Tamandua tetradactyla: one gene and its partner. The protein of the gene in region 2 binds, or shares a complex with, the protein of the main gene of each other region. Links are inferred from orthologs where the notes say so. Each region holds a gene or a part of one and is shown on either strand. Other genes may lie near its edges.

The links. Proteins that work in one complex are often made in the same cells at the same time.
Region 1: TUBGCP5 (region 2) and TUBG2 share a complex: the UniProt entries of both Homo sapiens proteins name them as parts of the gamma-tubulin ring complex. The link is inferred for Tamandua tetradactyla from reciprocal best matches to the Homo sapiens genes TUBGCP5 and TUBG2.

The regions. Positions count from the first base shown.
Region 1 is NC_135332.1:24,574,663-24,581,812, forward strand, and holds the start of TUBG2 (tubulin gamma-2 chain), read right to left. Parts: upstream 3,097-7,150; 5' UTR 2,885-3,096; coding exon 2,836-2,884; intron 2,559-2,835; coding exon 2,446-2,558; intron 2,277-2,445; coding exon 2,109-2,276; intron 1,799-2,108; coding exon 1,730-1,798; intron 1,454-1,729; coding exon 1,344-1,453; intron 981-1,343; coding exon 854-980; intron 243-853; coding exon 156-242; intron 43-155; coding exon 1-42. UniProt on the Homo sapiens protein: Tubulin is the major constituent of microtubules, protein filaments consisting of alpha- and beta-tubulin heterodimers. Gamma-tubulin is a key component of the gamma-tubulin ring complex (gTuRC) which mediates microtubule nucleation.
Region 2 is NC_135338.1:74,105,727-74,113,058, forward strand, and holds the start of TUBGCP5 (gamma-tubulin complex component 5), read left to right. Parts: upstream 1-4,254; 5' UTR 4,255-4,334; coding exon 4,335-4,480; intron 4,481-7,332. UniProt on the Homo sapiens protein: Component of the gamma-tubulin ring complex (gTuRC) which mediates microtubule nucleation.

The DNA of each region.
Region 1 (7,150 bases), on a different chromosome or scaffold from region 2:
GTAGCGCAGGGTGGTGGTGCTGGCCGACATGATGGTGGACACCTGGGGACAGGGGTGGCAAGTCAGGAGCCTCAGCCTGGGTGGGGCCTCCCTTCCCCAGACAGCCCACCAGCAGGGAGGGCGCTGGTGCAGGGAGGTCCAGGGTGGGGCCACACCAGCTGGTTGATCTGGGAGAAGGACGGGTTCTGGATGTGCAGGCGGTCAGTGGCGATCCGGTTCAGAGCCGTGTTGTCCAGCACCACCTGCGGGGACAGAAGAGGGCCACAGTAACTTTTGAGGAAAAAGGGGACATAGAAAGTTGATATTAGCTTAGACCTAAACTCCAAAATCAGGAATTAGTAGTCTCTGGGGCACCCAAGACACTTTTCTAGTGTCCAGTGTAGTAAACAAATATTTTAGTTTCTCTCTCTGTGTCATGCATTTTACTTGGCCTGGAGGTACAATGGACAGAAAAACAGGCATGGTCTTTCCCCTCACCAGATCTTCAGTCTAGTGAAGGGAAACAGACATTAAATGTAAAACACAAATATTATAGCTACAATCTGAAATATGCTTCAAGGAATCTGACCTTGACTGGATGGTCAGAGATTTCCAGGAGAAAGTGACCCCTGAGCTGAGTATCCGAGCATGAGTAGGCATTAAGCAGGCATAGTGGGGGCAGCTGGGTGGGAGGTTTGCTCTGTTGAGAGTCTTGCTGCCTAAAGGGACTGTAAACAACTTGAGGGTTGGATATGATTTCAGAATTCAGCTCATAAGATTTTGTTCTCTGGAAAGGGGCATGGGCAGGGCAGAGTGTATGTGATCCCCTGGTTTGGAGAGGTTGACCAAAGCCCCAGCTCTGTTCTGTGCTCACCACACAGTCTGCGTTCTGGGTCAGCCTCTTGAGCGTGAGCAGGGAGTTGTAGGGCTGCACCACCACATCGCTCATCTCATCCTGGTTGGGAAACACTGAGTACGTCTGCACCAGCTTCTTGGGGTACCTGAGGGTAGGGGGAGGGGAGGGCGGCACAGTGAATTGGAGGCTCCCCATCACTGCCCATCTCTTTATTCTCTAGGGACAACAGGAGCCATTCCTCTACAAGCATCACCAAATTCTTGGATTGAGGAAGTAAGGGTAGAAATGTATCTTCAGAGCTCAGGAGCCAGAAAGGACAAGCCGCAAGCATTGAACCTGCCATCCCCTGAGTCATTGCTTCCAAGATGCTGCTTGGGTGGCCAGGCTCTGTCCTTATGACTCAAAAGAGGTAGTGGCATACCTTCCAGTTCAATAGAAGAGGTGACAAAAAGGAAGGACATCACCTAGGGAACCAGGGCTAATGCCCTCTCCCGAAACATGGGCTCACCTGTCATTCAGGCGCTCCAGGAGGTAAGAGCCCAGGCCTGAACCTGTCCCCCCGGCGATGGAGTGACATAGCACAAAACCCTGTATGGGGAGGGGTGGAGAAGCTTCAGGCTTGTCTCATTGCACAACATACCCATGTCTGGAGGCTTCCTGTGTGTCCATCCAGGTTCAGAGCCTTGAGCAGAGGCTGAATGACTCATGCCTAAGGGGCTGATGGCACTCAGATTGTGGCATGTGAGGACAAGCTTGTCCCTTATCTCTCAGTACTCTACATCTGATGCTCAATTGATAGGTTTCAAATTGCCTCATCACACCAACTGTTCAGGCCACCTCCTGACTTTTCCCCAGCACTCTCCAGGTTTTTCCTTCAGCAGGGGAGAGCCTCACCTCTAGGCTGTCACTTCCATCTGCTTCTCGGTCTATAATGTCAAAGATGTCTTCGTGGATTTTCTCACCCTGAGTAGAAATGTGTGGAGGAAGGATCACGGTGAGAAGGTTCTGGGGAGCATCTCTTTTCAACACCAAAAGCTCTACCCTGGGACATTGCTGCCACCCTCAAGCAGAGCCTCAGATGTGGTCCTCAAACTGCAGCTGCTACTTGGCAAATAATTTGCACACAATTTGCATAAACCTCTTCCCAGTTCTTCCTCTAGTCAGAGTATCCCCCTTTGTCTTTCATTTATTGTTACTCTGATCCGGTCAAATCCCCAGGCTGCTTAAACCTGCCTTGACCTGGGGTGTCTTCTGGGATGGCCTGTTTAGGCACCTGGGAGAATCCACTGGCCCAGTTGTTGCCTGCTCCTCCACCATGCTCCGACAGGTAGATGTTCTCTGGGTTGTAGAGCTTGGCGTAGGGGGAGTTGAGGATGGAGTGGATCACCCGGGGCTCCAGGTCCAGCAGCACAGCCCGCGGGATGTAGTGCTCATCATCTGCCTGAGCAGGGGAGTCCAGGCCGGGACCCAGTCAGCTGGGGCCTAACCAGTGCTCCCACAACCCAACCCTGGCTCCTGCCTGCCCCCCTCTCCTCAAGCCCTGGCCCCTCTGCCAGCCGGTTTCCAGATCCCAGGCCAGTGCCCTTCCCTTCCAAAATCGCTGGGGGCACCTGGTAGAAAAAGACGTCCTTGCGGTCAGTGCCTTCGGTGGCGAACTCCTCCACGATGCCCTCGGGGCTGATACCATGCTCCGCGCACAGCTGTTTCCAAAACTCGAATCCGACTGGGGGGAAGGGTGAAGATGCCTCGGTCTGCTAGAGCCGTAAGAACTAAGAAGCCCAGGGTGGGGGACAGAGACTGTCACACTTGGAGAGGGCGCTCAAGACGCCTGGGTCCGGGACCCCGCACAGCCTGGGGGCCGCTTTTGGTCTGGGGCTCCGTTCATCACGCGCATTAGGGTAGGGATGCATGGAAGGGAAAGGAGGACTGTAGGATGCCAAGCACTTGGGTGGAACCCGAAGGGGCAGAACCGGAGCTGAGGGGACCCTGCACTCGCTCACTCTGGTTGCCGCACTGGCCCAGTTGCAGGGTGATGATCTCCCGGGGCATCACTCTTCAGACGTGGGCGCTCAGCACCCCCGGGCAGGAGTCGTAGCAGAGACGAGTGCTTGACAGCGGGGTGCGCAGGACGTGGGAAGCACACTCTCCTGGTCTCTTGACGCGGGTGTTCGGTCTGCGCGTGTGCAGTAGGGGCCTCCCCTCGGCCGGCCTGCCGGGGAGCCAGACCTGAGCATCATTTTCTCCCACAGCAATTACAGCTGGAATTCGGCACAGGCGCAGACTGAGGCCACGCCCTTCCCCCTTGCCCCCTCCCGCTCCCCGCTCCGCGCCTGCGCATTGAGAGGCAGCGGGGGCGGGGGGGGCGGGGACCCGCAGGGTCGCGACCGGAATCTGGGGGAGGGGAGAGGCTGGGCCGCCGTCGCGTACTAGCCAGACGCTCCAGATGTGTGGAGCTAGCTGTAGGGGGGTAGATGTGCGGCTCTGCGGAATCTGCTAGGGAGAGGAGCTGGGTCCAAACAAACTCTCTTCTTTTAAATTTAATTTTACGAAAACTTGCAAACATACAAGTACGATATTGTATTTTTATGTTTAAAATGTTTTGTAATTGTATTTAATGCCACTGAATTACACACTTTAAAATTATTATTCTGGCAACTTTTATATTATGTATATCTTATTTTATATATGTATTTTAAAATTTTTATATAAATGATGACAGTGTAATATCCTTTTGCAACCTCCTTTTTTTTTACCCTATCACCATACATTGGGTTTTTGTGATTTAGCCATATTGACACTTGTAGATTTATTTCATTCCCTTTAATTGTTGTGTAGTATTTCGTTGGGTGAATAAAACCAGTTTATTCTATTTCCAAATAGAAGGGCTTAGATTGCTTCCATTTATTCCCTATTAGAGGAAGCACAGGACTTGTCCATTTATGAGCATGAGGGAAAATGCTGCTAGAAGGGGCTTGTGCAGTTTCAAATTTACTAGGTTTTGCATATTTTCTCCAAGATGGTCATATTAATTTACTCTCTTCCAGCAATAGAATTCCCATCTCTACACTTGGGCTATCAGATGTTAATTTTTCATAATTCTATGGATGCTGAATGAGATCTCATTGTTGTAATTTCCAGTTATTGTCACTAGTGAAGTTGCTGTTCTTTTCTTTTTTCTTTTAAACTTTTTAAAAAATACTTTCAAATTTAGAGTTACAAAAATAATACGAACTCCACACTGAGAACTTCAACATATCCCTATTCCCTCACATACCTAGACCTACTAGTTTTAACATTTTGTCACATTTGCCATATCATTCTGTCTACCTATCAATCTATCAATTCATCCATCTGTTTGCCTCTCTAACAATTCATTTTCTGAATACTTCAGTATAGGTTGTATACATCATGCTCCTAGAATACTTAATACAGTCAAAAACATTTCTTAAAAACAAGGATATTCCATTTTATGTGTCCACCTCAAGTACAATTATCAAGTCCAAGAAATTTAACATTGATGTAAAGTTTACAGTTTATATTCATGTTTTCATATGTCCCAATAATGTCCTTTTGAGCCTTCTCTCCTCCTCTATTAGATCCTGTCCAGGATCATGTATTGCTTTAATTGCTATTGTTTCATTTTTCTTTTGTTACTGGCTTTTCAGGATTCTTCCTCTGTGAAATGCTTGTTTGTATCTTTTGCCCATTTTTTCTCCTGGGTTGCTTCTCTTTTTCTTATTGATTTGTATGCATTTAAAGATGTTCTAGTAATCTGCCTCGGTTCTATGAGTTGCAAATATTGTCTCTTGGTTGATGGCTTGTCTTTTCACTTTGCATAGAATATCACGAGATTGTTATAGAGATTTAATGTGGGCAAAGTTATCTATCTTTTCCTTTATATTTTGCATGTTTTATTCCTTGTTAAAGAAACCTTTCCCTAACCCAGTATCATAAGTTATTCTTTTATGGTTTTTTTCCCCAAAAGCTTCATACTAGTTTTACTTGTTCCTTGTGGGTCTTCAGTTCGTCTGGAATTTATTTGGAGGCCTGCTGTGAGATAGCATTCTATTTTATCTTTTCCATAGGGATGTCCAATTGTCTCCAAACCAATTGTTAAAGAGCCCATGCAGTCTCCTGCACCCCAAGGAACATTCCAAATCCTCACCGATGTGTTCTGTCTGTCTGTCCCTGTCTGCTGGGCTTTCTTTGCAAGTTGTCTGCAGAGGCACTGGTAAAAGCACTCTTTCTCTCTCTCTTTCAAAAGAACTAGGCCGCCTTCCAGTCCCCACCCTCCTGGAATCCTCAGGCCCACTTCTGTCCCTTCCCCAGCTTTGGTTCAATTTCACTCCCCTCACCCCACCAGGGCCTTCTAGCCAGCTTCCTCCACCTCTCGCCTGTCAGAAAATCTTAGGCATCCCTCAGGGGGACCAGTAGACGTGACCTTTTGGGGAGGGTCTGCTACTTCCTTTGAAGTTTAAAGGTGGAGTCTAAGCAACTCTCTGAGCCTCAGAGACTCTTCCTCCAACTGGATCACTCCCTAAGATCTGGCTGTCTTCAGAGGCTTTGCCAAGACCTTTACAGAGCTCAGCGTCTGCCAAGGGGTGAAGAGGAAGGCTTCAGAGATGAGAGCAAACTTGCCAGGCCTCCCTGCCTTGTGAGTTTTCTAAGGCTCAGTTTGCTTCCTTTAAAATAATAACAAGCTATAAGTAGTTTATGAACTCTTGCAAAACATGAGTTAATTTTTATCTTTTCATGTGATTAATAACGATGCTTTCCACTTCCTGGTCCCCAGAATTGTGAAAAACTCCTTCAAATCCCAGTTTATAGGCAAGCAGGTTAGAACGTGTGAGTTTATCTGAGTTGGAAAAGTTGCTGTGTAATAAGTCATCTCTGATGAGCCGGAGGCTCTTCTCAGTCTGGTAGAAATAGCTTGGAAATGCAGATGCTTATGCACCTTAGAGAGCTGAATGTAAATCCTTCCAGTTCTTAGCAGACTATGGTTTTCCATTTCTGCTGAGAACTGACATCCATATCAGTTAAATGAGATAATACATGAGCACTTAGCATGGTGCCTGACTTATAGTAAGCACTCAACAAATATCAACTGCTGTCATTACCCCTGCGTGCAGCTGGAACTGAAGTACAACTTGGCTACAACTATAGATGAAAGATTTTATTCAAGATAAAAGTAAAGTTGATATTTACTTTAAATACATTAAAAATAAATAAAACGCAATGATTGGTCATATTCAGTTTCAGCTGTAACTTCTACTGAGGTTGAATGAAAGAACCACGTTCATTATCTCCTGGATTTCAAATCTAGGGTCTCAAGGTCATTACCCGTAGTTAAGTATTGAGTTTAATTTTCTTGGCTCCATGTTCTCTGACCCAGATTATGACAATGTAGTGGGATGTGGCGTTCCTTTGTCTGAGGCCTTGCTCTGCATCTGATAATAAATGTAGCATTTGTAAATAACTAAGAAGTTTGCTAAATGTCCAGAGTCTTGATTGGACACTCCATATTGAATAAAAAAAATTTTTTGATACATCTTCATTTCTGGCCTTTCCTGGATGCCTGCATGTACTGTCAAGAGCACAGGTATATTTTGGAGGTTAGAGGTAGAAGGGTGAGGTGGTGGACTGAGGGTGTATCTCAGGGCCTGGGAGAAAGAGCAGTGTGCATTTCATGGAAAAACAGGTAGTTAGAGTCAATTCTAGGCATGAGACTGGGATTCTGTGGCCCCATGGAGTTTAATTTTCAAAGTGAAGGCAAGGGAAAATTAAAACTGTGACGAGAAAGAGCTGAAGCTCTTCATGTAAGGGGAGTTTTGCTAAATTCACATTTTGACTATGAAATAGAATGAAACAGCTGACTTGTTCCGTATGGTTTTTCAAGGAATAGGAAGTAAACCAAAATAAGAAGTAAGCCTGTGTGTGGGCCATTTGTTAATTCTTGTATTGTGCGCCTGTAATGTGTGGGCACCCAGTTATAAGCTGGGGAAATTGAGATCATCTTGGGTTGTTGGGTGAAGGTAGAGCCATTTATTGAGACACAGGGAAATCAGGAGGAATGTGTTTGAACAAGTGGGGTTTTAGGGGACCTGGGGATGTCTAGATGGATTTAGGGGTCCCAGAGGTAACAGAGAGTGCACAGGCCTAGAGCTAAGGTGAGAGATCTGGGTGTACAGCCATCCTTGTCCAGGCAGTGGTTAAAGGCACACAATGAATAGGGTCACAAGAGAGAATGCACGGTGCAGGATGGTCCTAGATTGGAAGAGGACTCAGAATAGAATCTGGTAGAATTCAACAGTTAAG
Region 2 (7,332 bases):
TCAAGCTCCATGATCATAAGTTTAGCCCTTTGGCATACTGACAAAATGTCCTAAGCAAACCCAGGTATGTTAGCTAGGGGTTTTGCACTGGGAGAGCAATGGAGTACCAACTGCTTTTCTCCCCATCAGCAATACACTTTGGGCTACCAAGGATGTGTAGCCCATGGTATCTGGAGAGTGTGCCCTTGGCAGCACAAGAGATGAGTAAAGGTTACTCACTCCTTTGCCTGAAAAACAACTCTTGTTAAGCAACCAAGGTGGTATGCTTAGTTCTCCCCAAGGTGGTGGCCTTCCTTCCTGTTTGACAACGGGCCATCCCCAGGTCTATCCCAATCACAACTCCATAGGGCTGCCCCAAGTAATGGTCACCAGACTAGATGCAGTGCCCATGGAGCACTAGCCCAACACTTAGTAAAAGTGGACTCAAGCACTAACTAATTATGGTGGTGTTGTTGCCACCCTACAGGCAGAAGCCTCAGAGACAATCTTCTAAATGCAGGCTGAATGCAATGTCATGTTATGCCAGGTGTGACGGTTAATTTCATGTGTCCACTTGGTTAGGACAGGATGTCCAGCAAGCTCTGGTCTGATAGTTACAGTGAAGGTATTTCAAAGATGAAATATGGCTGATTGAATCTACAATCAACAAAAGCGATAACCTCAACAATGTGGGGAATCTCCTAATCTGATAATTTAGCAGTCTTAAAAGCCTGAACTGAGGACTTCAGAAGCAGAGAAAGCCACAGGAGGAGACTAAGGACATCATTATGTGATGGAGGACTGCCATCATCAGAATATTACCCACTTCTGGGAAGAGGCAAGCTCTGCTGATAACTTGATGTTGGACTGCTATCCTCTAAAATCATAAGGTAATAAATTTTTGTTGTTTAAGTCAGACTAGTGGGTGGTATTTGTTGTAGCAGCCCTGGCAAACAAAAAGACCAGGGTATAGCCTATTAAAAATTCTTGTCTAGAAGTTGAATGTACTTTAGGTAGGGAGAGGTGTCAACATCTGGCCAACACAACACAATCCCACACAAGCCAAAATGCAAGCACTCCAGCAACTGGCAATTCCATCCCAGCAGCCTTTGTCATATCAGAGAACCAGTTGGTTACCCAAGAGCGGTCCATTAAAGCTGATGAGGTTTTCTCAGTCATGGCTGACCCATCCTGTTATAACACTGGTGGTTCTGATTTCCCACTCTTCACCCCATTGGTGATAGAAGGATTCCTGCCCTAGGGTAATGGAAATGGTCAAACACAGAACACCCAACATTAGCCAGATGAACTCAATAGCACTTCATTAGTCATACATATTTGCAGCTTTGAGGAGAAGGATCTTGTGCCATGTAAGGTCTCACCAGGATTTCACCTGAGAACAAAGTGAACAAGCAGAGGCCATGGGGGTCAGGCATTGTAGTAAAAAAAAGGAGGTACCCACAAGAGGATGTGTTGGTTTATTTGAATAAATAAATAAATAACCCCCCATGGGCTACCAGGAGACTGGAGCCTGCTATTCAAAGATAAGAGGTACTGTGCCTGGTCCTGGTGATAATGAGGTTGTTTTGGCAAGGGCACCCATGGAAGTACAACAGGAAGGTGAACTTTAGGCCATTCAAAGTCCTCCCAGTTATACATAACAAGCCACACATAACATAAGGCCTGTCACAGTTACGTTCATGTGTCAACTTGGTCAAGTGGTAGTATCTGTTTGTCTGGTTGGGCAATGTCTGTTGCGATGAGGACATTTCATAGAATTAAATCATGATCATGTCAGCTACATCCACAGCTGATTACATTTGTAATCAGCCAAAGAGGAGTGTCTTCTGCAATGAGTAATGCTTAATCTGATCACTGGAAGCCTTTTAAGGAGGATTCAGAAGAGACAGGCAGGCTCTTCCTGTCTCGGCTGGTGAGCCTCTCCTGTGGAGTTAGTCCAGACGCTCCATTGGAATTGTTGGCTTCACAGCCTGCCCTGCAGATTTTGGACTCTGCGTTTCCACGATGATGTGAGACACTTTTATAAATTTTATATTTGCGAGTATTTCCTGTTGATTCTGTTTCTCTAGAGAACCCTAAATAATACAAGACCTTAATTTTTGGCCTTGAACCAAAGTGCATGTGTGTGTTTATATATACCGATTTTTTGGTGATGTACAGACACCAATTATTGATTTGGGTGTCAATAAAAATGAGAGCTGTATGGACAGATTTGAGAGTTATAAGCATACAGATGAGAGTTGAAACTAGAATAAAGAGATTGCCCAGGGAAAGCGTATAAGTTCTCTTATACAGAATAATTTTCCTCCTCCTTAAGGTAATCTTGTGCAATGTTATTGGTGGTATATCACTATCTAATACTATAGAAATGCAATGCAACAAGCCACATGAAAACCCATAAAATTTCTAAAAGAAAAAATTTTTAAAGAGACATATGCAGTAAGTTTTTAAATGGTTTGCTACAAGCAATAGTTAACAGAAATAAAGGCAGTTTTTATTACAAATAACAAAGGCAGTTCTCCAACCTTGGCCAGATAGTTATAAATTCCTTCTTCAGCCATTTTCCGTTATAAGCAACTGAGAGCAGGAGGCATCTTTCAAAATGACCTTGGAGCAGTGAGGTGTCATCACTTGGCCTGTGTGACAGGAAAACTTAAAAGGTCATTATGTTCAATTTCTTCATTTTTCTATACGAAACTGAACCTTGGAGAAGGATATACAACTAACCAGAGTCATGGTACCTGAAAATAAGGGTATAAAGATATACTAAGGGGTGCATGGGTGGCTCAATGCTAGAATGCTCTCACCTGATACTCTTCTGCGTCTTCAAACCTACTGTTGTGTGTGCCTAGTATATTTTAAACATCATCTAGTGTCATTTATTTCTATAATGCCTGTTATTTTTCTATATATTCTTCCAAATTCTTCTTTATGCTCTCCTAGTTTCTTCTTAGTATCTTTTATCTCTTCATGCATATTCCCATTCATTTATTTGAGTTTTTTCAGGAAATTTGTTTGAACATCTTTGATTAGCTATTCCAGATTCTATATCTCCTCTTTCAGATTTATTCTTTTGACTGGGGCATTTCTTCTTGTATTTTAATGTGTCTGGTGATTTCTTTCTTTGCTGCTATCTAGTCAACTGATCTTTCTTTTTCTCTCATTATGAGTATGTTTTTAAATAGCTTTCAAGATACATATTTTCCCCCCATTTTAAAAACCATCTGTTCTCAGTTTCTGCTAGTGGTCCTCGTAGGCCCAAGCCCCTGCTCCCTGTCACACGGGAGTCCAGGGTTCTACTCTAGGCCCATGCTCCCCTTACCCTCCACCACCCAAAAAAATAAAAGATATTACTGAATTATGATCAAAATTATCAGAAGTTAAACCATCAACCAAAATTAGCCAGAGACCATTACATATCTCTTAATAGTAACAATTAACTCTTGGAGGACTTGCCAAGTGCCTGGCTCTAAATGCTGTATGCGCACTAACTCTATTAAATAGGAATAACCCTTCTCTGCCCCACCAGAACCCTCTTTTGAGAAAACTGAGGTTGAGGGAGAAGCGACTAGCCTGAGGCCACACCCCCATTAAATGGCAGGCGGAGGATTAAGACTCTGTGTTTTCCTTTCAACCTCGAAATTATACACTTCTCTTGGTCCTGCTGTACGCACTTCGGTGTTCTTGTCTCTTTTGACAACCAAGCGATATGTGAGGCGCTTTCCTGGGTCTACGGGGATTGCAGAGCAAGAGAAAATGTTAGTTACTCTTCTCCAAAAGTTGTTTCTTGTCTATATAAATATGCTACATTTTGTCTTAAACACGAAGGTTGTATGATATATATCTTTTAAGTTCGATGAGGAGAAAATCCTTCGGCAACAATACTGTGCCTTAGAGGTGTGAGAGAACCTCCCAGGAAGCGGCGTCGGCAGCGAGCTTTCTGGAGCTCAGCGTAGGAATGGAGCTTCATGCAGGTCACACAAACGGTCTGTACCTCAAATAATGCAGTATCTTCTTTATCTTTGTATTGTTTTGTTTCCTTGTCGGTTTTCTTCTCTGCAGTATCTTCTTTAACACACTCAACTTTACTAAGTGCAAGTGGGAGACACAACACCAACATCTCACAAAAACAATACCGGCAGCATTGTCCAGAAGACATGCGCACTGACGCCCTAGTCGTCACACGACCGAAGCGCGAACTCTTGCGATAGCAACCAAACGTCGCCGAGACCCAATGCCGCGGCTGAGCTAACTCTCGCGAGAGCAGTCGTAACTCACCGAGAACTTGCATTGCTGGTGTGCGAATGCGCGGGTAGTGAGGGATAGCAGGGGCAATGGCTCGAGCCGTTCCGCCGTGGAGCTGGCTGGACAGACAACAGGAGGTGGACGTGCTGGAGCTCGTCCGGCATATGACTGGTCTGCAGGATGAGGCGGACCCCAACTTCCAGCTCGCCCTGAGCTTCGTCTGGTCCAACTTCAGGTGTGGGATGCTCACGGGCGGGGACTCTGCGCTTGGGTCTTTGTGTCCTTTTTGCCCAGCGAGCCCAGAGGAGGAGGGGCGGGGTCGCGCAACCTAGCTGTGGGATCCTCGGGGAAACCCGCATAGGCCCTGCCCTTATTCGGTGCCTTAGGGTCTTCTGTGGCCCCGTCGCGAGACACACGCGTGCTTCTACAGTGAATTGTGAGTTGTTGAGTGCCCGCCTCCCGTCTTAGTATGTGCGCTTTTAGAGAGCAGGTTCGTACTCTGTCTCTACTGTAGCCATTGCGCTTTGTGCAGTACGAGTCTTAAGAGCAAAATAATGATCACATCCTATTTAGAGTTGTATTCTCTCTCACTCCTTCTTCCTGCCCGGGCCATTCCAGATCTCCCTTACCCTGCTCTCGGTGTTTTGCCAGAGCGCTTATCAAAACACATTGGATATATCAGTTGTTTACTCTTTGTCTCCACCTTCCCCCACACCCAGCTGGAATGTAAGTTGCTGGGGAGCAAGGATCTTGGTTCTTGGTCTGTTTTGTTCATAATTGTATCTCAGCACCTAGAACAGTTCTAGACCCGTAGTACACTAAGTCACCCAATACAACCTCTAATACAGCTTCTCATTTAATTATTTTTTAAATAGCTACGATTTAGATAATTAGGTTGCAGTCGAGCGCCTACTTTTCTTTAGGGAAAATATAAATTAGACAATACTGTTGTGATCGTTACTGTAATGGAATTCCTACTAAAAGTAAGTGTTAGTGTTAACATTCTGCCCATTTAATTTCATAGAAATCGCAAACAGTTTTTTTATCTGTAATCTTGATTATCACAATAAAGTGCCTACTTGATTTATAATAAGAATAGACGGCTTTCAGATCTGTACGTTTCTGAAATGATCAACACAGTTCTTAAATGTGATTTAGAAAAGTGACACTGTCTGCAATATCTCATGTAAGACAGAAAATTAAATGTGCTATCCCAAATGATTTTTATTAATATTTTTAAATGTCAGTAGATAGATGGATATCATTTTAGTTAGGAGAACTTTAAGTTACTATCTCCTTTTTTAGATTGAGAAACTAAGTTATGATAGGTAGGGTGATGTTCCCACACAACCAGATATTGGGGTAGATTTAGATGTATTATTCACAAGTGTAATTTCCTACTTTTAAGTACGGATTGCTGACTTTGATAACCAAAAAAATGGAAAATGAGAGTTGAATAAGCTATACTGTACTGTTGAGATGCTTTAGTCAGTCAGAAAAAGGAACAATTCATGTTTACATTTTTAAAATTTTGGTCATGTTCTAGGTCCTAAAAATCCAGAAATGGATAAGATAATAAAAACTTCAGTCTTTAAGGAAAACAGGGACAAAAGGGAACAATTACAATATAGTCTTGAACAGGTGTTTTTAACTTGAGAGTCTGAAAATGGAATTCAGGTGTATGTGAATTTGGATAAGAAAATATTACATAACCTCTAGCTAAAAAGTAGTAATTCCTTCAATTATGAATGAAGGTAACAAACCATAATAGTATTAGGCTGTTAGCCTACGATTGTCACCAGTAGAGGTCACAGATTACTTTTACATCATAATATAGTTGCTGCAGATATTTCTCAATATTGCTCACTGTTACTTCAATGGTAGTTATTGAACTTAGGCTAGATCTTGTTTATTATTACATTAATAAAGAAGTACTTTAGTTAATGTACATTTTAAAAATTTTTATTGACAAAACAAAACAACGTGCAGACACCAACATTCTTAACATACAAACATTCCATACATGGTGTACGGTCAGTGGCTCACAATATCATCACATAGTAGTATATTCATCACCATGATCATTTTTTAGAACTTTTGCATCACTCCAAAGAAAGAAATAGAAAAGCAAAAGCAAAAACCCTTACGTACCATACCTCTTATCCCTCCCTCTCATTGATCACTAGTATTTCCATCTCCCCAATGTATTTTAACCTTTGTTCCCCCCTTTTTTTTATACTCCTTACCACTCCCTTTCATTGATCACTGGTATTTCAATCTACTCAATTTATGTTAACATTTGTTCCCCCTATTATTTATTTATTTTTAATCTATATTTTTTACTCATCTGTCCATACCATACATAAAAAGAACATCAGACACAAGGTTTTCACAATCACATAGTCACATGGCAAAAGCTGTATCATTATACATTAATCTTCAAGAAACATGACTACTGGAACACAGCGCTGCAGTTTCAGGCACGTCTCTCTAGCCCTTCTAATATACCTTAAACTAAAAAGGGGATATCTGTTATACATTTTTTAAGTTGACAACTGTATTTCAATATAGTAGTTTTCTTTGTTTTTATTTTTTTTTTTTTATTTTTTTATTTTTTTTTTTTTTTAAAGGAAAGACAGAGAGAAGGAAGGAAGGATAGAAGGAAGGAAGGAAGGAAGAAAGGGAAACATTTTTAAACATTTTCTTGTTTTATTGTATTCTGTTTCTCCGTTTTTGTTACATGGGCTGGGGCCGGGAATCGAACCGAGGTCCTCCGGCATAGCAGGCAAGCACTTTGCCCGCTGAGCCACCGCGGCCCACCCCTTTGTTTTTATTTTATACGTTTAGAAGATTGTTCTGGGTAGGGGTCTTTTAGGTTTCACTGTGGTATAAAAAAGATTACAAACACCTGATATAGAATGTGCTATGTTGGCGACACAGGTTATTACGGGAGGACAAAGGAACTAAACGACTGAACTGGGGAGGTGAAGGATGTGCCTGTGTCCTAAGGAAGGGATGCTTGAGCAGTCTCCAAGACACAGTAGTGATTTACCTGGCTGGTGGTTGAGGTAATGGAGGTGTACTTCT